4 linked regions of the Cricetulus griseus genome follow. The protein of the gene in region 2 purifies or fractionates together with the protein of the main gene of each other region. This does not show direct contact. Links are inferred from orthologs where the notes say so. Each region holds a gene or a part of one and is shown on either strand. Other genes may lie near its edges.

The links.
Region 1: the proteins of Cstf2 (region 2) and Cstf3 fractionate together in Homo sapiens (co-fractionation; 4 studies listed by BioGRID and IntAct, with this or other methods). This does not show direct contact. The link is inferred for Cricetulus griseus from reciprocal best matches to the Homo sapiens genes CSTF2 and CSTF3.
Region 3: the proteins of Cstf2 (region 2) and Sympk purify together in Homo sapiens (affinity purification with mass spectrometry; 4 studies listed by BioGRID and IntAct, with this or other methods). This does not show direct contact. The link is inferred for Cricetulus griseus from reciprocal best matches to the Homo sapiens genes CSTF2 and SYMPK.
Region 4: the proteins of Cstf2 (region 2) and Cpsf2 purify together in Homo sapiens (affinity purification with western blotting; 3 studies listed by BioGRID and IntAct, with this or other methods). This does not show direct contact. The link is inferred for Cricetulus griseus from reciprocal best matches to the Homo sapiens genes CSTF2 and CPSF2.

Annotation. Positions count from the first base shown.
Region 1 is NC_048599.1:73,016,645-73,022,196, reverse strand, and holds part of Cstf3 (cleavage stimulation factor subunit 3), read left to right. Parts: intron 1-1,496; coding exon 1,497-1,659; intron 1,660-3,672; coding exon 3,673-3,782; intron 3,783-4,413; coding exon 4,414-4,530; intron 4,531-4,894; coding exon 4,895-4,969; intron 4,970-5,552. UniProt on the Homo sapiens protein: One of the multiple factors required for polyadenylation and 3'-end cleavage of mammalian pre-mRNAs.
Region 2 is NC_048604.1:46,067,494-46,073,497, reverse strand, and holds the start of Cstf2 (cleavage stimulation factor subunit 2), read left to right. Parts: upstream 1-2,133; 5' UTR 2,134-2,240; coding exon 2,241-2,298; intron 2,299-4,178; coding exon 4,179-4,257; intron 4,258-4,692; coding exon 4,693-4,862; intron 4,863-5,399; coding exon 5,400-5,536; intron 5,537-6,004. UniProt on the Homo sapiens protein: One of the multiple factors required for polyadenylation and 3'-end cleavage of mammalian pre-mRNAs. This subunit is directly involved in the binding to pre-mRNAs.
Region 3 is NC_048602.1:28,335,182-28,340,733, reverse strand, and holds part of Sympk (symplekin), read left to right. Parts: intron 1-643; coding exon 644-697; intron 698-778; coding exon 779-852; intron 853-3,298; coding exon 3,299-3,461; intron 3,462-4,867; coding exon 4,868-5,117; intron 5,118-5,378; coding exon 5,379-5,549; intron 5,550-5,552. UniProt on the Homo sapiens protein: Scaffold protein that functions as a component of a multimolecular complex involved in histone mRNA 3'-end processing. Specific component of the tight junction (TJ) plaque, but might not be an exclusively junctional component. May have a house-keeping rule.
Region 4 is NC_048598.1:104,040,588-104,046,139, reverse strand, and holds part of Cpsf2 (cleavage and polyadenylation specificity factor subunit 2), read left to right. Parts: intron 1-312; coding exon 313-428; intron 429-1,493; coding exon 1,494-1,681; intron 1,682-2,542; coding exon 2,543-2,833; intron 2,834-5,552. UniProt on the Homo sapiens protein: Component of the cleavage and polyadenylation specificity factor (CPSF) complex that play a key role in pre-mRNA 3'-end formation, recognizing the AAUAAA signal sequence and interacting with poly(A) polymerase and other factors to bring about cleavage and poly(A) addition.

The sequences.
Region 1 (5,552 bases), on a different chromosome or scaffold from region 2:
GTATTTTCTTGCTTTCTTTTGTTGTTGTTTTTTTTTTTTTTTTTTTTTTTTTTTTCTTATTGAGATAGTATTTCTCTGTATAGCTTTGGAACCTGCCTGGTCGATCTGAGACCAGGCTGGCCTCAAACTCACAGATATCTGCCTGCCTCTGCCTCCCAAGTACTGGGATCAAAGGCATGAGCCACCACTGCCTGGTTTACTCTGGATGTTTTCAATTTTGTTTTTTGTAGCAATGGCTGTCCTGGAACTCATTAAGCAAACCAGGCTGGTATTATTTAGAAAGATCAATTTGCCTTTGCCTCCTGAGTGCTGGGATCAAAGACCAGGCAAGATGATATAGTTCAATTGAAATAGTTCTTTAGGTTATGTTAAATGACAGAATGTAAGTTGGATTTGGAAGAAATTTTTTTCGTGTGTGTGTGTGTGTGTGTGTGTGTGTGTGTGTGTGTGTGTGTGTGTGTGTGTGTGTTTGTTTGTTACTGGGCATCAAATAATGAGTCTGTGAGATCAGACCCAGTGAGTCTGTGGATGTTACTGGACAGCACTAATCCAATGTGTATATTTGTAATGGGGCATCAGCTAACCTGGGGATTCACACATATTAGGAAGTATTCTACTACTGAGTTACATCCCAATCCAACAAGTTGTTTTTTTGTTTGTTTGTTTGTTTTGTTTTTTTTTGTTTTTTTTTTCTGATTGTTGATGAAGTAGAGTTTGTTTATGAAGTAGAGTCTTGCTATGTAGTACTGACTAGCCTGGTACTTTGTAACTCAGCTACCCTCAAATTAATGGCACTCTTCCTGTGTCATCTTCCCAAGTGCTGGAATTATAAGCATGAGCTACCATGCCTGGCCAGAAATATTTTTCCAAACAGAAATTTTACATAAAATAACTGAAGTAGTTGATATCCTTCTTTCATATTTGCTTATCTGAATATTGTATTACTCTGTAGTCAGAGTGTGGTTATGAAATAACATAACTCTTTGAGACAGATTTTGGGCTCTGTACATACCTTTTCTATTCATTGGAAAAGTAGCCAAATAGTGCAAACTATTAGCTTCTCCAGAGGTGACAATAACAATTCTACCGAATCTCCACTCGTGTTACCTCTTTCATCATACATCCTGCAGAGTGACCCTCCTCCACTGCCTGTAGAGATAGCTCATGGCTATTCTGTTTATCACTCCTAGGATCTGGTATTGGTTGGTAATACTGTGTTGTGTCTTTCCTTACTCGGGTTTTGTTTTAGTTGGTTGGTTTTGGATGTTGTTGCTTGGATATCTGTTTTTTTTCTAATAGGGTCTCATGTAGCCAATGTTGACCTTAAACTCACTATGTATCTGAAGATAATCTTGAATTCTAAAATCATATTAACAAAGTGATATTAGGTAGAGGAGAGTAAACATTTTAAACAAAGTATTTTAGACTTATCAACCTTCCCCCCCTTATATCTGAGTTGTTCTAGGCTCATCAAACATTTCTAAATGTTTGTTTAGGAATATGAGACAGTAATGAAAGGCTTGGATCGCAATGCTCCTTCAGTGCCTCCTCAGAATACTCCTCAAGAAGCTCAGCAAGTAGACATGTGGAAGAAGTACATCCAGTGGGAGAAGAGTAACCCTCTTCGAACAGAGGACCAGACCCTTATAACCAAAAGAGGTAACAAGAGTAGCCCTCGTGGGACTCCAACTACATGTGTCTTGGACTGTTTGATTTTAACCTCATGGATTGCCTCAAGCTCTGCTCCTGCTTCTGCCACCCACCACTCCAGGCTCTTTACTCTGCAGGTTAGGTTGGCTTCAAGCTCACTATGTAGCCTTGGCTGACCTCCAACTCATGATCTGTCTTAACTTCCTAAGTCACAGGAATGTGCTACCATGCCCAGATGAGGCTTTGATTTTTATTCCTAAATCTTTTGTTTTTCCACTTGTGTTTTTTCATTCATAATCATGTCTACAGATCTATCTTCATGTTCACATAGTCCTAGTTTTATTGTATCTAATCTGCTGTTGAGCTAATATAGCAAATTGTTCATTATATATACTGTATTTTTTAGTTCTATAAATTTCCATTTAATTTTTTTATAATTTTAATTACTCTATTGAGTTTCATGTGTTACAATGTAGTTGTGTTTGTGTGTATGTCTGTATATTTTAATTTTTAATTGTTTGTGTATATGGATGTTTTGACTGCATGAATGTCTTGCATACCGCTTACATGCCTGGTGCCCAAAGAGACTTGAAGAAGTCATTGGATCCTCTGGAACTGCAGTTACAGATAATTATGAGCTACCATGTGGGTGCTGAGAATCAAACCCAGGTTATGTGCAAGAACAAGTGCTCTTAACCGCTGAGCCATCTTTCCAGCTCCTGTAATGTGTCTTCTTTAGATTCACGAATGTGGTTATTACAATAGCTGCAAAGTCCTCATTTACTAATTCCTAAAGGCAGTGGACCATCATGGGATTGGTTTCCTTTGACATTTGACAGTTGGTCACATTTTCATGTTTTGTAACCTATATAAACAAACAGTTAAATTTTTTAACATTTTATAAATGTACAAATAATAGATTATAAAGACTGGATTCTTTGGTCTTCTCTGAAGAATACTGAGTTTTATTTAATAGGAAGTTCAATTATTTATTATCCATTTGGACTTTGTATAATGTGAATCTCACCATTGCCCCTGGACAATCAATCTACTTTGATTTCTGCTTCATTTTGCAGTTTGGGGGGGTGGTTTATTTCATTTTACATATATAACATGTGCACACAAAAACATACACACATGGAGATAGAGAAGTATCAGGAATTGAACCAAAGGCCTTGTACATTTGTTCATACTAAGCATATGCTCTACCATAGAGATATACCTTCTGTCTTCAGTTTATATTAATTTCAGAAGAGTTAGATTTATACAAATTACTATTACTGATGGATTGGAATTTCACTGAATTCTTAATTTTGTAGGCTCACTCACCTACATGACTTTATACTGTTTCTTTGCCTGTATCTATTTTGGGGCACTGGTTCAAACCCAGAACCACATGTATGGCAGATAGGAATTCTACCACTGAGTCACATCCTTGGCAGCCTCTGCCAATGTGTACCCTCCCTTCCATCTGTCTCACTTAATTCTCATTGACCAACTTCTGCTGCTTTGGTCTCCAGATGCCAGTCACTCAATGAAATTACTTAGGCTTTCTTTCTTCCAACATGTGTGTCTGTGTGTGTACATGTATGGTGGTTTTTTATGTTTGCTTTTACTGTCCTGTGTAGACTACATCCTTCTTGAATGTTGGCAGCCATGTTCACTTCTTTTTTTCTTTTTCTTTTATTTGAATTAGAAACAAGATTGTTTTACATGTCAATCCCAGTTCCCACTCCCTCCCCTTCTCCCCTACCACTCCCCCCACCCCCACCCCCATCTGCCAAATCCCCCCCCCCACCGTTCACTTTTGTGCCTTTCTTTCCAGCATCTAGTTGTCCCAATAGATAGTAATTTGGTAAATAGTGAACAAATCAGCCTCTGGATGATGGCATCAGAGGTTACTTTTTTATTTCAAATCATTCATTGTTAAAGATCATGTCTGAGTCTAATAATTTCATGTGTGCTTGTGATAATGTTGTTAGTGCTGTTTATCTTAATTGTTTTGTGCTTGTCTTCCCTTAGTTATGTTTGCTTATGAACAGTGCCTGCTTGTGCTGGGCCATCACCCTGATATTTGGTACGAAGCTGCCCAGTATCTGGAACAGTCAAGTAAGCTGCTTGCGGAAAAGGGGGTGCGTATCCTTCCCCATCCTCTTTTTACCTTTGTGACTTTGCTCTAGCAATAAGATCTACTGAAAAAATATAACATCAATTTTAGTAAAAAAGCATAAGTATTATCTAGGTTTAAACACATACCCATACACATATACCAACACATAACATTAAATATAGCAGAAGGGGAGCTATTTGGGAAGTGTGGCAGAGAGACGAGACAAGGTATTGGGTATAATCTCAGGAAATACAGTGGTGTATATATATGAAAATGTCATATTAAAACTCATATGCTAAATTTACTAAAAGTTTGTATATGAAAAGTATCTGTTGAAAATTTTAAGCTTATGTCAGTATTAATTTTAGTAATACTCATGATTATATTTCCTTAGAATTAAAATATGATTGCTTTTAAAATTTTATCAAAGTGCTATATCATTTAAAGAACTTAAATGGTTCTCCTATAGTTCTCCTAAGTAACGGGTGCTGGAGTGGATAACTGTGTGGTAGAGGCCCCTGGGCTCAAGCCCTAAAAACTTCTCTGCTCAGAGCAGGAATAAATCCTTGGTAATTTTTTTTAATGCAAATGTGTATTTTTAGTCTTTCAACTACATTGAAGTTATTGAGGATGTGCTTCCTTTTTCCTCTTAGGATATGAACAATGCCAAATTATTTAGTGATGAAGCTGCTAACATATATGAAAGAGCCATAAGCACTTTATTAAAGAAGAACATGCTCCTTTATTTTGCATATGCAGATTATGAAGAGGTGAGAAGACTCAGAAGGTTTGGAACTCTGTATGTGTGTGTGTGTGTGTGTGTGTGTGTCCGTCCCATGCTGGCCTCAAACTCATGCTTCTCCCTGAGCCTGCTGTATACAGGGATTGCATCTAGTGCTTACAGTTTTACTGAAGGACTAAGTTGTTTTTTGGAGGGACAGGGGAGCAGCTTCTTTGTTTTGTAGCCAGAGATGGTGACAGTAAACAGTTGTTAGTCCTCAAGTTCATATAAATTTATGTGCAATATAGGTGCCATTGTGTCTTGTGGGAACAGGAGTATAGGCTTCGGGCTCCTTAAAGCTTATATCTGTTCATTAGTGAGTATATACTTATATTCACTTCTCTGCCTCCTAGAGTCGCATGAAGTATGAGAAGGTTCACAGTATATATAACAGGCTTCTGGCAATTGAGGACATTGACCCCACCTTGGTGAGTAACCTTCTAAGTCTCTTTTTCACCATCATACTCTGACTTAATACAGCAAACATTTAAATCACACACAATGACATTCATTGTTCTTATGTCTTATTAGATCATGAGACCTTCTATACAAAACACTACTGGGCATGATGGCTAACACTTGTAATCTCAGTATTTAGGAAGTGGAGACAGAAGGATCAGGACTATATAGTGAGTTTAAGGATAACCTGCACTATATAAGATTCTGCCTCAAGAAGCAAATAAAGAAGTAAAGCATTTCCACCACCTCTGAAAAAATCCCCTTCTGTGACCCTTTGTATAACCCTTTACTCTGCCCCAATCCCTAAAAGTAATCTCTACTCTATTAATATTGTTTTTACTGCATCAGTATAAAATAGCTACAAAAGGTCTTTCTTATAACACTATATGATCATATTTTTAAATTAGTCTTTTAAAATAGGCATACTTAGTAGGAGTTTCATTATGGCATTTTCATGCATGCTTTATTTTTGCTATTCTCCTATCTCATCTCCTTTTCCCCCTTATTTGGTGCCTTTCCAATTCTAATAGTCTCCCTTTTGCTTTCATGTCA
Region 2 (6,004 bases):
CCCCGAGAGAGGGGAGACGGGAAAAGGAGACACATGTCTTTGTGAAGGAGTAAGGTCCCCTGGAATTTGAATTACAGACAGTTGTGAGCTGCCTTGTGGGCGCTGGGAATTGAACTCAGGACCTCTGGAGGAGCTGCCAATGCTCTTAACTGATGTTATGGTGGAAGTTCCACCCAAGCCTCCTCCCCTATCCCTCTCCAAACTCTGTTACATCTCAGTAAGCCTGCCAAGTGATGACCCCTCCCCCAGAGACGGCCAGGACTACTCCTACAGGGTATTTAAACTGCCTCTCAGAAAGTAGACCTGGTTTTCCGGTCTTCCCCCATCCCTGCTTGGGGACTGGAAGGCCATCTGGGAGCGTTGCATCCATTAAACGTGGCTTTTTCTAATTCAGTTTGATTTGGTCTGATTAGGATTACTGCATTGGCAGAGATGCTTATCGGGGTGTAGAAACTTTCCACCTACAAATGTCAGCTTTTATTGGAATTAGCTGCATAGTTGTGAGAGAGCTAAAGTAGAAGTTACCCATGCAAAACTGACCACACAACATGGATGTTAGAGCCAGGGTCTGTTTTCTCCACTATAGCTGATAGAAACATTGGCATCTGGTAGAGTGAGGAGTTCATTGAGTAGCACTCTAGATATGACAGTATGTTTCTTGTTTCTGCATCTTCTTGCAGTCATACTGTTTCGCTAGTCATCCAGCAACCAAAACCACTCCACTCCGTTTCCAAGCCTCCTCACTCACAAGGGGTAAAGCTGAGCAAAATTTTCTAGGCCTACTAGAAGAGCTGCCCCGCTATTACTTAAGAAAAATCACAGATAAAAAAAGAATGTATGGCTGCACCAAATGTTGTCACAAAACTACTTCATTAACTACGTTTCCCAAATTGCATGGCCAGAGAACCACCAGAGGCACTCATAGAAAAAATAATTCTCTCATTCCTTGTGTAAAATCTCACCCTATATGTAGATTGGAGTAGAGGTCCAAGAACCCCTATTTTTAGTTAAGTACCCCAACTAAATCTTTTGTCTGTATGAATTTTGAAACGTTAGGTGAGAAATCTACTTAGCCATACATTCATTTAGTGAAAATTCACTACATTGAACTGTGATGCACCAAAATTGTCAATCTGTGCCTTTTACAGAGCTGTAAATATCAAGCTCCAAACAATTCTATTATATAAAAGATCCTATAGGTCACATAGTGATTGGAAATTCAATCGGTGATACTTGCCAACTTTCCTCTTTACCAGAGTTACTCGAGACATGTTCCTCTGTGTGTGTGCGTGTTGTGTGTTCTATTCCTCATTTTTAAAGCACAGACTCTTCTGATACAGGATGTATGTTTTTCTGGGGATTTAATGCATGGTTTGTAAGCACTCTACCGATGGGCCACATACCCAGCTCATGGAATTGGCATTTTTAAACCCATGCCTCCAAGTCTGTGCCTATTTTACTACATTGGACTTACTTTGCCAGGTAGGTTTTCTCGGACGGCAGGGCTATTAACTCCTTTCCTTGTTCTTTTAATCTGATTTCCCTCAGGATAACCCACCCTGCATTTCCTCCAACTCCAGTGGCAGGCTAACTGTTCTGGTACTAACCCAGGAGGTGTGCACAACCACAGCCAAGGGCATTTTCCATGGCTTCCAAAACTTCCCCTGCTCATGTCCAGTGCCACACTGCCCCTAGGCTTTCTTACTAGTGCTGGTACTAGACTTTGAGAGTCCTCTCATTCCCCAGCCTCTCTCAGCTCTCCCTCAGTACAGGGAAGCGTCAACAAAGTAATAGGATGTATGCTACTGGGGACGGCCCCCACATTTCTAGTAGGACAGAACGAAGATGACAGTGCCAGAGCTGTTAGCAAATGACTTCCCTGTTGCCAGGGTAAATCTGCGGCAGCCATCTGTAGCGCTGCTTACAAACGTTTGGATGTGCACCAGTGAAAATGACGGAGGAGGAGGACCGCAAACGCAGAGACTTCAAATTAGCATAGCTCGGCCCCCTGCGGGCAACCCACGCCCCTTTTCTCGGGCCGTAGGTCTTCCCGCAGACTGTTGCCCCACCCCCGAACAAAACCCTAGGCGGGAACCCACAACGTGACGCGCGGAACGAGATCCGTGGCGGCTCTGTCCAGGTGCTTCCGGCTCCCACCGGACGGAGGCGCGCTCGGCCCTGGCCTCACTCTGCCACGGAAGTGTGTTTTAGGCGCACCGGAAGCCACCTCAGGGGTAGCCATGGCGGGTTTGCCTGTTAGAGACCCTGCGGTGGATCGTTCTCTGCGTTCTGTGTTCGGTGAGAGGAATTTAGTGGCGCCTCCAGTCAGGGAGGGATGTCCCCTGCGGTCCCCAGCTGGAGCGGGTGTCGGGGCGGGCGTGCGATTTCCCCGCTGTCCTTTGACGCGGCAGCCTGGTGTACTCGTGGGCAAACAGAGCCCCCCCCCCCAACTTGGGCTCCAAGGTATTGGAGGTTTTCCGCAGTGTGGTTCAGGGAGCTAGACCCTAGCGTTTGTCGTCTCTGTTTTCCCCTTCATGATTCTCAGTTATTTTTTAGGAGAAAAGGTGCGTGGAAACAGAGCGCCCCTGTTCCGTGCTGCTTCTCCTAGCCCAAAATACAGATTTAATTTTGAAGCCATCGACCCTATATCCACTTCCTGCCCTCTCATAAACGCCTAATATCGCTTGCTTTTTACTTGTAACGTTTCATCCAACCATAGTGGTAGCGGCCACCTGGGCACCTTGAGGTGGGTTGCGAATGAATGAATGAATGATTGATTGATGAAAGCTCAGGGAGATTCTAGAGAAGCGAAACTAAACAGTTCTTAGGAATTAAATGAGTTAATTTTTTTTTTTTCGAGACAGGGTTTCTCTGTGTGGCTTTGGAGGCTGTCCTGGAACTCACTCTGGAGACCAGGTTGGTCTCGAGCTCACAGAGATCCTCCTGTCCCTGCTTCCAGAGTGCTGGCATTAAAGGCGTGTGCCACGTGTATTGCTGTTTTTTTTTTTCCTTGGGGGCAGGGGTTGGTTTTTTTTCTGGCTCCCAAGGGCTGGGATTAAAAACGTGCGCTTTTAGTAGGGCGTTGGTGGCGCACGCCTTTAATCCTAGCAATAGGGAGGCAGAGGCAGGCGGATCTCTGTGAGTTCGAGACCAGCCTGGTCTACAAGAGCTAGCTCCAGGACAGCCTCCAAAAGCCACAGAGAAACACTGTCTCGAAAAACCAAAAAATAAAAACGTGTGCTTTTGCCGGGCGTTGGTGGCACATGTCTTTAATCCCAGCACACGGGAGGCAGAGGTAGGAGGATCTCTGAGTTTGAGACCAGTTCGGTCTACAAGAGCTAGTTCCAGGACAGCCTCTAAAGCCCTAGAAACCCTGTCTCCAAAAACCAAAAAAAACAAAAACAAAAAAACAAAAACAAAACTTAAGCTTTTGGGGGGAGGGGTGGTGGTTTTGTTTTGTTGGTTGCTTTTTTTCTGCCTAAGTGCTGGGATTAAAGGCATGCGCTTTTTTTGTTGTTGGTTTTTTCTGCCTCCCAAGTGCTGGGGTTAAAGGCGTGCACTTTTGGGGGGGGGTGGTTTTTTTTTCTTTGTTTTTGGTTTTTTTTTTTTCTGCCTCCTGAGTGCACGTTTAAAAGCACGTTTTGGGGCAGTACAATTGCCTCAAATTCAACGCCAGCCTAGGTTACATAACAAGGCCGGCCACACTATATAATAAGACTTAAAACAAAAAGAACAAGAAGCACTGTTTGAAAGAAACATGACAAAACAGTTGAGAATGATTTTTAACCCCCCTCCACTATATTCCTGGCTATTCCCTCCATAAGCATGTGTATACATGGAAATACAGACATGAACCCACCCTCTTTATGTTTTTAGTAGTCACTGGTCAAACACAGGGTTATGAGTAAATACCAGTGCTTAAACATATATTTTCATCAAAGTAAGGGAAAACATCCTATTTGTCATATCCATATGAGAACTGTTTGAAAGACTTCTTTTTTTATTTTGCCTCTGGGTCTGTTGTGGGGTCTGAAAAGGTACAGTGGAAGCGTTTTGGAGAACACTGTTCAGTCAACTTGTTACCTATTTATTGATAAAAATAGAAAGCCTACTGTTTACTTGCTTACTGAAGAGCTCCATTACTGCACCAGCATTTTAATGTATTATCTGTTCCTTAGTGGGAAACATTCCGTATGAAGCTACTGAAGAACAACTGAAGGACATCTTCTCTGAGGTTGGGCCTGTTGTTAGTTTCAGGTGAGAACTTTTAAGATCTTCATGGGAGATTCTTTAAAAACCACAGATTTTGAGATAAATGTACATGCTTTATAATTCATATCCAGTCTTACTTGGAAAATTTCTTTCATTAAAAATGTTTCAAAAACATAAAAGCAGAAATAGAAGAGTGTCTTTTTGGGGGGATTTGGAGACAGGGTTCCTCTGTGTAACAGGCTTGGCTGTCCTGAAACTCAGTGTATAGCCAGACTGACCTTGAACCACAGAAATCTGCCTGCCTCTGCCTCCTGAGCATTGGGATTAAAGGCATGCACCACCATGCCTGGCTTAGAAGGGTATCTTACTGTGGTCTAAATTAGAACATGCCAATGTTAGCAAGAAGCCTGTGTGTGTGTGTGTGTGTGTGTGTGTGTGTGTGTGTAGCATTTGTTTCTGATACTTGGTTTTGCTCTTCAGATTGGTATATGATAGGGAGACAGGAAAACCAAAAGGTTATGGCTTCTGTGAATACCAAGACCAAGAAACAGCACTTAGTGCCATGCGGAACTTGAATGGGCGTGAATTCAGTGGACGAGCACTTCGAGTGGATAATGCTGCCAGTGAAAAGAACAAAGAAGAACTGAAAAGTGAGTATAAATGCAAGCCATATATATTACAAGTTAATGAAGATGAGAAGATGATCCAAGTTGTTCATTTGGGATTATGCTTTAGAAGATGCTGAGGTGGTTAGCTGAAGGAAAAGCTTCTTAGAACCAAGGGTGCCTGGAGTGAAAGATGTGTACATTTAAGCAACTTGGCTTTAGAAATCTTTCTGTTCTTTAGGAGTTGGTCTCCACTTTTTGGGACATTTCAGGTTCATAAAGCCTAAAGGCATTTCCACAAATCCTGTTGAAGTTAGCATCTTTGTCTATTTAAATGTTTTTCTTCTGAAGTGATTTGCCAACAAAATCAATAGCAGCATTATCACTTTCATAGCTGTTACCTAAGAACAGAAGATACACTGTCACTTTCCTTCTCAGAAAGATTTTTAGGTGGCTTAATTTCTAGCTCCAGAATCTGAAGTTACTGGTTGGTGCTCACAGACACCCTGGAAAATAGCCATTTGAAATGACTTAGGTTGTTATTTTGCCTTCCTGACTTTGTTGTGCTCTCTTCCTAATCAGGCCTTGGAACTGGTGCACCGGTCATTGAGTCACCTTATGGAGAGACCATCAGTCCTGAGGATGCCCCTGAGTCTATTAGCAAAGCAGTCGCCAGCCTTCCCCCAGAGCAGATGTTTGAGCTGATGAAACAAATGAAGGTGGGAGGGGGTGTTAGATGATAAACACAATTGACAACAGCTATTCAAAGGTTAATGGACAGAGTTCCCCCAGCTTAAGGAGTTGAGTCTGTAGGCACTGTAGCATCCACTTTTTATACACACATTTATTTTTATATACAAACAGACCTTCCCAAACAGTCTACTGTGTTTCTATGCCCCCTGTAGATGTTAAATTATAGTTTTGCCCATAAGTGATAACATTAGCATATTCTAAATGCCTTTGATTGCCTGCCACAGCCACGATTTTTTGTTCAATGTCAAAATCAGTGCTAAATCACCAGGCATGGTATTTTGTGCCTTTAGTCCCACCACTTGGGATGCTGAGGCAGAAGAGTCACAGTGAGTTCAAAACCAGAATGGGATACATGAGACTCTGTCTCAAAAAGAAAATCACTAGTAACTCAGACATTGTCTTGAATATGATGTTTATGAGATTAAATGGCTCAA
Region 3 (5,552 bases), on a different chromosome or scaffold from region 2:
ATTTTTTTATTTTCCTGGTATGTCTGGTGTGCATGTATGCTTGTTCACATGGATGGAGGTGCCTGGTTGCTTGGTGTGAGGTACAGGCATGTGTGCACACATGTATGTGTTGACATGTGTGTTTCTTAGTCACTGTCTGCTTGGTTGAGGCAGGGTCTCTCAGTAGACCCCAAAGCCTGCTGAGCCATTAGTCTAGCCTGCCAGGTTGCCCTGGGATCCTGCCTCTGTCTCCAAAGTGCTGGGACTTTGGCTGTGTTGCTTCAGAGATCCAAAATGCCCTGGGGCTTGTGGAGGGAGTGTTTACCCACCGAGCCATCTCCACGTCCCATACTTTTATACTCTTTGCCTCAGGTATGCCTGCACAGCACGTGGGTATCGGGGCAACTTGCTGGAAATCTTTCTACCAAGAGGCTCCCAGAGAGTCTGTTTAGATCTTGAGGCATGGGTGGCTAGCACTTTACCCCCTAAGCCATCCTGATGGCCCTTATTTTTAGTTTTTTTAGATAGAGTCCATAGTATAGACTGCCTTGATAGCATGACAATCCTGCCTCAGCCTCCCAAGTACAGGGACTATGAAGAAGAGCCACCGTGCCTGGCTTTGGAGCCTGGTTCCAGGTCTGTTCTTCCTCCCCCAATCTCCTAGGTCCAGGAGCTGATCATCAACAAAGACCCCACCCTGCTCGACAACTTCTTGGATGTGAGTGATGGCCCTGGGGTGGGATAAAGGTGAGGTGATGCTCCTTGGTGTGGCTAAGCCATCTCCCTTCCGACATCACAGGAGATCATCGCTTTCCAAGCAGACAAGTCCATCGAGGTGCGCAAGTTCGTCATAGGCTTCATCGAGGAGGCATGGTACGCGCCTCTTTAGAGTCCTGGGGGCCTGGCGCATGTCCCCAGAGTTCCTCCCCCGCCACACAGCCCCTGCCCTTGAAGCAACACTTCATGGCTGCTTTGTTGGTTGAAGTGGCGGTTCTCCTTTCAGAACACAGGCAGCCGCTGCTTGCTGCTTGCCATCTCAGTCTCCGCTGTGGCTACTCCTGAACCAGGCTGATGTGATATGGTACTGGGAGGTGAACTCAGGTTCTCAGGAGCCGACTGCTGAGCCGTCCCTCCACCCCGGACCATGTTAAAACAGTCATAAGTGCTGATTAGTACAGTCACTCTGTAGTTCTTGATTTGCTTTAGACAAGAACTGATGCAGCTCAGGCTGGCCTGGAGCTACTTTGTAGCAGAGGATAAAACCTTGAATTTCTGGTCCTCCTGTCCCTGTCTCCTGTTTCTGGAATGGGAGGTTTGCTCCCAGTCCCTGGCCTCATAGTCTAGTTGGGAACCATCTGCAGAGGGAAGTCATACCCTCACCAACCTCTGCGCGTAGCTAGGCCATCTGCTGAGCGGATATGGCATCTTACTGTGCCTCTCCTACACTCCTGCCGGTCCTCCGAGCACTCGCCTGACCCCATCTCCCTCTGCTCCTCACAAAACGCCAGTGTCCTTCCTAGCCAGTCTGCTTCTGCCTGACCTGGGGCCATTCCATCACTTCTCCAGGTTCCTCAGAAAACCTTGCCTGAGCATTCCCTTTGACTCCTGTCTTCACTGTCGCTGTTTTTTTTGTGGTGCTCCACACTGCTTGAAATTGCCTGGGTAATTCACCAAAAAATAAATGGTGGCTTCACAGCAGGGCCTCCATATCCCAGTGTTTCCTCAAACAAGATTGGTTCTAACAGTGGTGACAGTGTAGGTGTTGAACAAGCAAGGACATCTAGTAATGGCTTGACCCCTCTTGCCTTTGATCTCCACAGCAGCCCTGGATAGCCAGTCACCCTCTCTGAGATTCAGAATGGGAAGTAGCTGGTTCCTTTCTCTATTCACGTTTGGCTCTGCAAGGGGGAGGAGATAAAATAGCTCTTTTTGTTACCCTGCTAGCCTGCCAGGAGCTATTGAGTCTTGTTGACTTATTTGTTATTCAACCTTCATCATGAGGCTTTGAGGTGATTTGGAGGGTCCGGTGGGTTTTCCCCGAGTTCACTTGGCCGAACTTGGCAGACCTAGGATACTTTACTCTGTGTCTCTGACCCCATTGCCCCACATTGGCACACTCGCCTCTTTACTGGGAACATTGGTGATAGTTTTTCATGTTGTTTGCTAGAGACAGGTTCTTACTGTGGCCTTGAACTTGGGGCAGTCCTCCTCCCTCTCAGCCTCCCAGGTGCTGAGATTGTGGCATACCACATCCAGCTGTACTAAATTTTAGGAGTTCGCAAAAAATTGTGTAACAGATGTGTCCAGTGAGCAAAACTGTGTAATGCCCTGTCTTCCAGAATTTGACACTCAAGTTTTATTTTATTTTATTTTATTTTATTTTATTTTTGTCTAGACAGGGTCTCACGTAACCCAGGCCTACAGCCAGTGCTCTTAAACACTGAGCCATCTCTCCAGCCCACCATTTTTTTGTCTTCTCTTTTCCTTCCCTCCTTCCTTCCCTCCTTCCTTCCTTCCTTCCTTCCTTCCTTCCTTCCTTCCTCTCTTTCTTTGGTGTTTCATGTTTTTTGAACGGTGTAACTGGTGCTTGGAATCAGAACGGAACGTACATTGTGAAAAGAATCCCATTAACGTGTTGCGCTCCGGGGGCGGGCCTTCTCAGATTGCTTTGTTCCTTGGCCAGACGTCACTGGAGGCCTTTGATTCTTTCTGGCAGCCAAAGTGACCCTGCCAGTTCTTAGCCCTACCAAAGGGTCCCTGATGTGGGAGCCTTCAGGCCTGAGTAAACAAAACTAGGTGTTTTCCTAAGTCCTTTCATTGCACGCTCGGTGGTTTTGGTGGCTGTTTTTACCACCTGTGCTGTGGGTGTTCTCCAAGTAAGATAAGGAATGGGGCTAGGGATGTGGCTCCGTTAGAATGCTTGCCGAGCATGCACAGAGCCTTGGGTTCCATCCCCAGCACTTTAGAAATCTGTGTGGTGGTACACACTTACAAATCCTAGCACAGGAGGTGTGGAGGCAGGAGCATCTGGAGCCCAAGGTCATCCTCAGCTGTTAGATAGTTAGAGGCCAAGCTGGGGCTGAGACTCTGTCTCAGAGAAAAAGATGATGGCCTGCTCAAACTTCAAACAATTGTTGGCTGTCCCTTACTTAGACAGCTGGACCCTACAGAGTTGCGGGAGTGAAGGCCGCAGGGCCAGCTGTGGTACAGTGAGGTGTCGCCATCATCCGACACTACGGGGAGTACTGACCATAAAGAGTCCCCACCTCCACCTCAGTCTCTTGATTCACAGGCCTGAGTCCCTATTCCCTACCCCAAGGCCAGCATTACCTGTCCCCTTCTCTTCCATCCCCAGCAAGCGGGACATTGAGCTGCTGCTAAAACTGATCGCCAACCTCAACATGCTCCTGCGGGACGAAAATGTGAACGTGGTAAAGAAAGCCATCCTCACCATGACGCAGCTCTACAAGGTGGCCCTGCAGGTGAGCAGCGCAGCTGGGCCTTCCCAGCCGGGGTGGCCTTCCTTACAGTCCAAGCCATGCCAGGGGTCGAGGTCAAGGCTGAGTTGCCCAGAGAAACCTTGAATTTCCCTCTCCCTGCCCACACTTCCTCCTTTTGCTGGGTTATGGCCTGTGTTGCCAGTCGTGGCAAGCATAAGCTTGTCATAAGTGAATCTGCTGCTGTTGTGAGAACAGACAGCAAGGCATCTAATGTTTGGGTCCACTCATTTATGTATTCCACAGACATTCCCCAAGAATGTCCACTCTCAAGCCCTGACAGGTGGTTCAGGGGATGGCCAGGACCAAGATTCTAGATGCAGTGCTAGCTCAGTGAGGGATGCAGGGCAGCCAGGTGTGGGTTGCTCACCTGCCAACCTAGCATGTGTAAGGCTAGGGCAGAAAGAGTTCAAGGCCACCTTGGACTGCAGAAATAATAGCAGTTTTTTAAAAAGGACCACAAATCTACAGAGATGGCCAAGCTGTTGGGAATGCTTGTTCTTCCAGAGGGCCCGGGTTCACTTCCACATGGTCTCTCGTAACCATCTGTAACTCCAATTTCTTTCTTTTTTGGGGGTGGGGGGTGGGGGGCTTTCGAGACAGGGTTTCTCTGTGGCTTTGGAGGCTGTCCTGGAACTCGCTCTTGTAGACCAGGCTGGTCTCGAACTCACAGAGATCCACCTGCCTCTGCCTCCCGAGTACTGGGATTAAAGGCGTGTGCCACCAATGCCCATCCAATTTCAGGTCATCCGATGCTCTCTTCTGACTTCCTCGGGTACTGCATACATGTGTTGCACAGATATATGCAGACAAAACACCCATACACATAAAAATAAACATCTTTGAAAAGGAGAATCACACGAGTTCTCAGTTGTTATTTGATGACACAGGAGTGAGTTTATTGGTTGGGCCATTCATTGTTAGCAAAATGAAGCCAGTCAGTCACTGCTGCTTTTTTGGGGAGTGGTATAGGGTGCTTTGTCTGCGTACATGTCTATGCAGTGTGTGTACAGTGCCTGTAGAGGCCAGAAGAGAACATCAGATCTTCTGGAACTGCAGTAGCAGACAGGGAGAGATGCCATGTGGGTATGGGAATGCAACCTGGGCTCTCTGCAAGAGCAGCCCATACTCTTTAACTGCTCCCCTATCTCTTGAGCCCTGCTGACCCCTCTGAGGTGACTGCTCCTGTGTCTTGAGGTCTGATACTTCATCACTGGCTTAGCTGTGTCTTGGTTGCCCCCATCCTAGCCTTGCCCAGTACTGAGCATAGCTGTTGGTTTAACTAAGTGAATGTGCTCACAGTCATTCAGTCTGCAGGTGGGGGGCGGATCCTGCTCACGGTGATGTGTTGTCTTCGCTGTCTGTCTTTTCTATTCCTGACCCCTCGGCAGTGGATGGTGAAGTCTCGGGTCATCAACGATCTCCAGGAGGCCTGCTGGGACATGGTGTCCTCCATGGCTGGGGAAATCATCCTACTCTTGGATTCCGACAACGATGGCATCCGTACACATGCCATCAAGTTTGTGGAGGGCCTCATTGTCACCCTGTCACCCCGCATGGCTGATTCAGAGGTCCCCCGACGCCAAGAGCATGACATCAGTCTGGACCGAATCCCTCGAGATCACCCCTACATCCAGTACAGTGAGTGTTGCTGTTCCCTAGTGCCCTGTGTGTACTCACAGTGCTGTTACAGTGTCTTCTGTAGATACACATGGAGTTTGCTGTACTCATTTTCCTGTAGTATGAGCTCAGTGTGTTTACACCAGAACATAACTGTTGACTCTGGAGGACCAGACTGAGAGCAGTGCTGCTCCAGGGCCTGTTGGGCTGTGAGGGTGGATCTCCATCTAGTCAGGTTGACAGTGGGGCCCCACTGACTGAGCCTCTCTTCTTCCCCGTTAGATGTCCTGTGGGAGGAAGGCAAGGCAGCCTTGGAGCAGCTGCTGAAGTTCATGGTACACCCCGCCATCTCCTCCATCAACCTGACCACAGCCCTGGGCTCCCTTGCCAACATCGCCCGCCAGAGACCCATGTTCATGTCCGAGGTGATCCAGGCCTATGAGACCCTGCATGGTA
Region 4 (5,552 bases), on a different chromosome or scaffold from region 2:
AAATGAATATATAAGAATATACAGGGTTATCTGTGTTCTAAATGCCTATATGGATACACAAGAAAATTCGTTTGTTGAGAAGGATAGGGCCAATATATCATTTCATTTGTCTTGAAGTGGTGGTCCTCTGGAACATTTCTACTTTCCTCCTTAAACTTTTTTGAATTTATCAGGTTTTTTTTTTTTTTTTTTTTTTTTTAAATCACGAATGCATATGTTTATAGTTGGGGGTGTTTTTAAAAGCAGTTACTTTTGTAATAGGTGAAGCCATCGCTGTTCATTTGAAATGACAGGTATTCTTCATCTTTATAGCCACTTAAATGGATGTTCCCTGGAAATGCTAAGCAGACCCTCTCTGCTTATCACAGATTCATTCAATGCTACGTATGTGCAGCCTAGAAGGAAACAGAGAGATGAGCAGCTCTTGAGTACGTATATCCGTATTCTGTAGGAATAGCTGTGGGGGTGTGGGGATAGCCATTCCTGCTTATTCTGTTAGCTTTGTCAGAAGAGATCTGCTAACTCGAGTAATTTCTAGTTACATTTTATACATTTGTACAATGCGTGCATATGTGTATGCTTGCCACAGAGTGCATGTAGAAGTCAGAGGACAACTTGAGGAAGTTAGTTTTCTCCTCCCACCATCTGGGTTTCAGGATCAAACTCAGGTCGTCAGGCTTGGTGACAAGCGCTTTAATCCACTAAGCTATTTTGCTGGGCCCATAACTCCTGTGGTGTTTTGTTTTTAAAAATGTTAATGTGACCATGTCAAGATACTCTCTAAAGACTGGCTTCCTCTACCGCTCAGCACATAGATAGCTCCCTCAGGCATTCACTGGCCTCTGTATAACATGCATATATTGAGAGAGGTAAAAAAAAACAGCAAAGGGAACCCAAGAGAGCTCTGAAAGCACACAAGGTCTGCTGGCTGGGTGCTTCGTGTTCTGTTCTGATAGAGTTAGCTTGATTTTACTCAGGCGCCTTTGTGCCATCACCTCTTGCTTCTGCTTTGACTCGTTCTGCTGTGCTTTGTGTTATTTTTTTATAAGCCATATGTGATGGCAGCAGGAAAGCTGGGTTCCACTTTTAAACGTGTGAGCAAACACTCATCTGTCTGCTTACCAATGCATTTTTAAGAAGCTCCTCAATTCATGTGTGTGTATGTATACATGCGTGAGCATGTTTACTGGGTAGAGTTTGCTTTTACCCAGCACTTGAAGCTGACATTGACAGCTATTGCCAAAGATGCTTTTCTTCTTGGAAGGTTACATGTTCTGTGTTTTATTCTACATGCATTCATACAAAACATGTATCATGTGTTTTATTCCTAAAAAGATATATATAACCAAGTCAACAGTCATTGTGTTGATCTGAACAAATACTTTTATATGTATCCTAGTAATTACTTATGCAGTCTTTATAGAAGACACTGGAAACTGTTTAGTTTTGTTGCAAAGCATGTGCTTCATGGGGCTCTTCTGATCTTGTTTAAGCAAATGTTCTGGAAACTCTCCGTGGTGATGGAAATGTTCTAATAGCAGTGGACACAGCCGGCAGGGTTCTGGAGCTTGCTCAACTTCTTGATCAGATTTGGAGAACTAAAGATGCAGGCCTTGGTGTTTATTCACTGGCCCTCCTGAATAACGTCAGCTATAACGTGGTGGAGTTTTCTAAGTCACAGGTTTGTTCTTTGTTCTCCCGTGACATTGAGGAAAGAGGCTAAGTGTAGTGCCCTTCAAATATTATTTTTCTGCAATTGATAATAATAGTAGCTGAATGTTAACTGTTTACTGTCCTGTGTTCTTCACATATGTTACTTCATTTACGCTTAAGATTTCTGTTTTTGTCCTCATTTGACAGGTTGAGCAAGTTGCTTGTTTTCTAACTCTTGGTTTTCTGATCTATAAAATGGGAGTAAAAGTAAAATATCAATGCTAGAATTCATCATTCTTTTGGGTGGGGGCAGAGTTTCAAGACAGGGTCTGTGTAACAGTCCTGGCTGTCCTGGAACTCACTCTGTAGACCAGGCTGGCCTAGAACTCACTGAGATGGCCTCTGTCTCCCGAAGATGAGCCACCACAGCCCAGTGAATTCATCTTAAAATGAATTCTTTCCCTCCAAGCAATGATACCTGGTTCCGATATTCATTTAGAACACATTCTCTTCTCAGAAAGATTTAAGCCCACATCAGTGAAACACTGCACAATTGTTGTTTTCAAGACAGGGTTTCTTTGTGTAGCCCTGGCTTTGGAATTCTCTATAGACCAGGCTGGCTCCAAAGTCAGAGCCTCCAGCTTCTGCAGATCTCTTCTGCGTAGGGATTAAAGGCATGCAAAACCACACTTGACAAAATTGGGGAGGGGGGTTGTTGTTTTTTTAAGGATTAAAAACTGGAACAGGAGAATCTAATGGGAAAAAGGACCAATTAGCTACTTGTCCAAATGGCACAAATTGGGTCGGGGGGAGTCTTAAATTTTGATTATTGTTAAATATTTCACAATATAGCATTTTCTAATTATTGTCATTTCCCCCCTTGCCTTAGGTAGAATGGATGAGTGATAAATTGATGAGATGTTTTGAAGACAAGAGAAATAATCCATTTCAGTTTCGCCATCTCTCTCTGTGCCATGGTCTTTCTGACTTGGCTCGAGTTCCAAGCCCCAAAGTTGTACTTGCCAGCCAGCCTGACCTGGAGTGTGGATTCTCAAGGGACCTCTTTATTCAGTGGTGCCAGGATCCTAAAAACTCAATCATTTTAACTTATAGAACAACTCCTGGGACTTTAGCTCGTTTCTTAATTGATAATCCTTCTGAGAAAGTTACAGAAATAGAGGTAAGCACTTAGTTACGTTCAAACTTTAAATTTATTTTATTTACCTGCCAATGGCTCCAGTTAGTGCTGCCTGTGTACATGTGAGTATGCGTGAAGCCATCTTCTGAAGCATGGGCACTGTGCTTATGCCGTATCCTCAAAGAAAAATGACTTTCCCTCTCACACTTGCTAATAGTGCAGACACTATTAGCAAGCCTGCCTTTCCTGTCACCTAGCCACATCTTTGCACTAGTGTGTGCCTGCACTCAAGCAGCTTTCTGCCATGTGAGTTAAACAGGAGCAGTGAACACATTTCCCTTCATGTGGAGACCTCACCTCGGAAGCGAACCAACAGTAGCATTCAGCACTCAGTGGAACATTCATTTTCTCATTCCCCAGTAAGCCAGCCTTTGCCTTCTTTCTCTTCCAGTGTTCCACAACTAACCTAGCCTCATCCTTTGCACATGACCTTGCCTGGAATTTAACAGAGAAGTAGAAGGCCAGTCAGGAATCCTGTCTCCTCCCACTAAATACACTAACCCACCTCTGCACCTTCATTAACAAGGCAGCTAACGGAACGACCAAGATGTGGAAAGATTTTGCTTAATAACCAGGCCATCAAATCTGTCAGATTTCCACAACCAGTATTGTTGACAGATGTCCATGGCCATCACTTCAAGTGGGTTGGCTAGTAGCTGCAAGACTTATGCATAGTTTGAATGGCCATTTTGTATTTTGTCCTCATAGCAGCATTTGAAGGTATATTTACTTTGTGAAAGCTATCTGGTATCCTTCTCTTAATATAATAAGTAGTTTAAGAAAAGCATCATTATTAGCAACTAAAGTCTGATAAATGTTCACTAACTACAGCATTGCTGACAAAAGGATTCCAAGCAAGTATATCAAAATAAAATACTGTCTTGGGTTATTTAATAGCTTAGAAATATCAAGTTAAAATAACTCAGAAGTACTTAATAGTTTCATGAGAAATGAAGTACTGCATTTGAAATTTTTAATTACTAGAAACTCAATTAGGGTTGATATGCCATTGAGGAATTAAAAGGACATTAAAAGTTTGAAAAAAAAAAGCAAAATGATATTCTAAAGTATCCTCATGATATCAGAAACAGCAGAAACAAAGGGGGAGGCTTTAATTTAAAAGGCTACTTGGTGTGCTCAGGTTCTGTCCCCACTCACCTTCTCCTCCCTTCTCTCCCATACCTTGTTCTGCCCCTTATATGGTCACATCCGTCTGTCTCTGCTCCCTGAGTGCATAAAAGGGTGTGCACCATCACAACTATCTGGTTAGATACAACCTTGTATTATTTTTCTTAATATTCATTACCACATGTTTCCTTGTTTGTTGTCTTCTTTTTGCTACCAAATTGAATGGAGTTCCAGAAGAAGAGGGACCTTCGTAGTGGCCAGGAAAGTGCCATTGCACTGCTGGCCCTCAGTGAATGTGCTGGTGGCTATCATGATGACAAAAGAGCGAGTTCCTCACAGGCCAGTCCTCTGACACATTAGCATTTACTGTGGGTCTATTTTTTTGCATACATATAGTGCCCTAGGAAATTAAGCCTTGTTCATTTAAAAAGAGCAAAGCCAGTAATTTTAAAAAGGCGGGGGTGGGGGTGAATGAAGAAACAGACTAGAGTTTATATTAGGAAAAGGCAAGACTTGGAGTGATACTGTGAAAGTGGAGAAGGAATGTATTTTAGAGTTGATTGTTCTGGAAACTTTATGAATACAGCAGCTAATATCAGGTCTCAGAATTGGAATACAGAACTGAGACAAATTTTATTTAATTATTTTTTTGAGATGGGGTTTTGCTATATTGTCCAGTCTGAACTGAAACTCCATTCTCCCTCCTGAAGTTCCTGGGTTGTGAGGTCCAGGCTTGAGTCACCACACCAGGCTAAGAACAACATTTTTATAAGAGGTACAAGTTAAATGAGGGAATTAAATACTTAATGAAAAAAAAATTTGTGTGCAAGGTATCTATGTGAGTTGTTAACTGCTTATAATTTTAAACACATTTCCAGTAAGCTAATAGCCAGATGTGAGATGCCACATTTGTGAGTGTTCATCAGTTAATTTTGGTTTAATTTTTATTTTTGAAATAGTTTCAAATTTAGCCAAAAGTCACAAAAATAGTGTGGATACTCTAACTCCCAAGTTGTTGAGGTTTTAGCTGGGTTTGCTGTATAGTATCTTGTATCTACACAGACACAATATTACACACACATTTTGAAACAAACAGTAGTTATTCCAGCATTGCCTTGGATAGTACCACAGTGTGTATTGTGTGGAAACAAGAACACAGAAAACAGGAGATAAACACTGAAATCATACTACCATTTAATCTGATGACCCTGCCAACTCTAGCTGGTTGGCACAACAGTGTCCTTTTTAATTCCCTGTTCAGTTTTTCTGTGATCCCACCTAAGAGTGCATGTTGCATTGAGTTGTTATGACTTGACATTTAAAAATCATTAAATTTTAGGTTAGCACACAAAATGGTGAGTTTCAGTATGGCATTTTGTTGTACAAATGTGGCATTGCATTTTGCTCTCTTTATGCCTCTCCCCTACCCCCACTGACTTCCTCCCTTCCCCCAAGTAGTTCCTCTTTCTGCTCTTATCACGTGTATTCCGTTACCGTCTTGTTTCTCCTTCCACGGATTCTTCCCCCTTTCTCATGATCCCCTTTCTAATTTCATGACCTCACCCATATACAA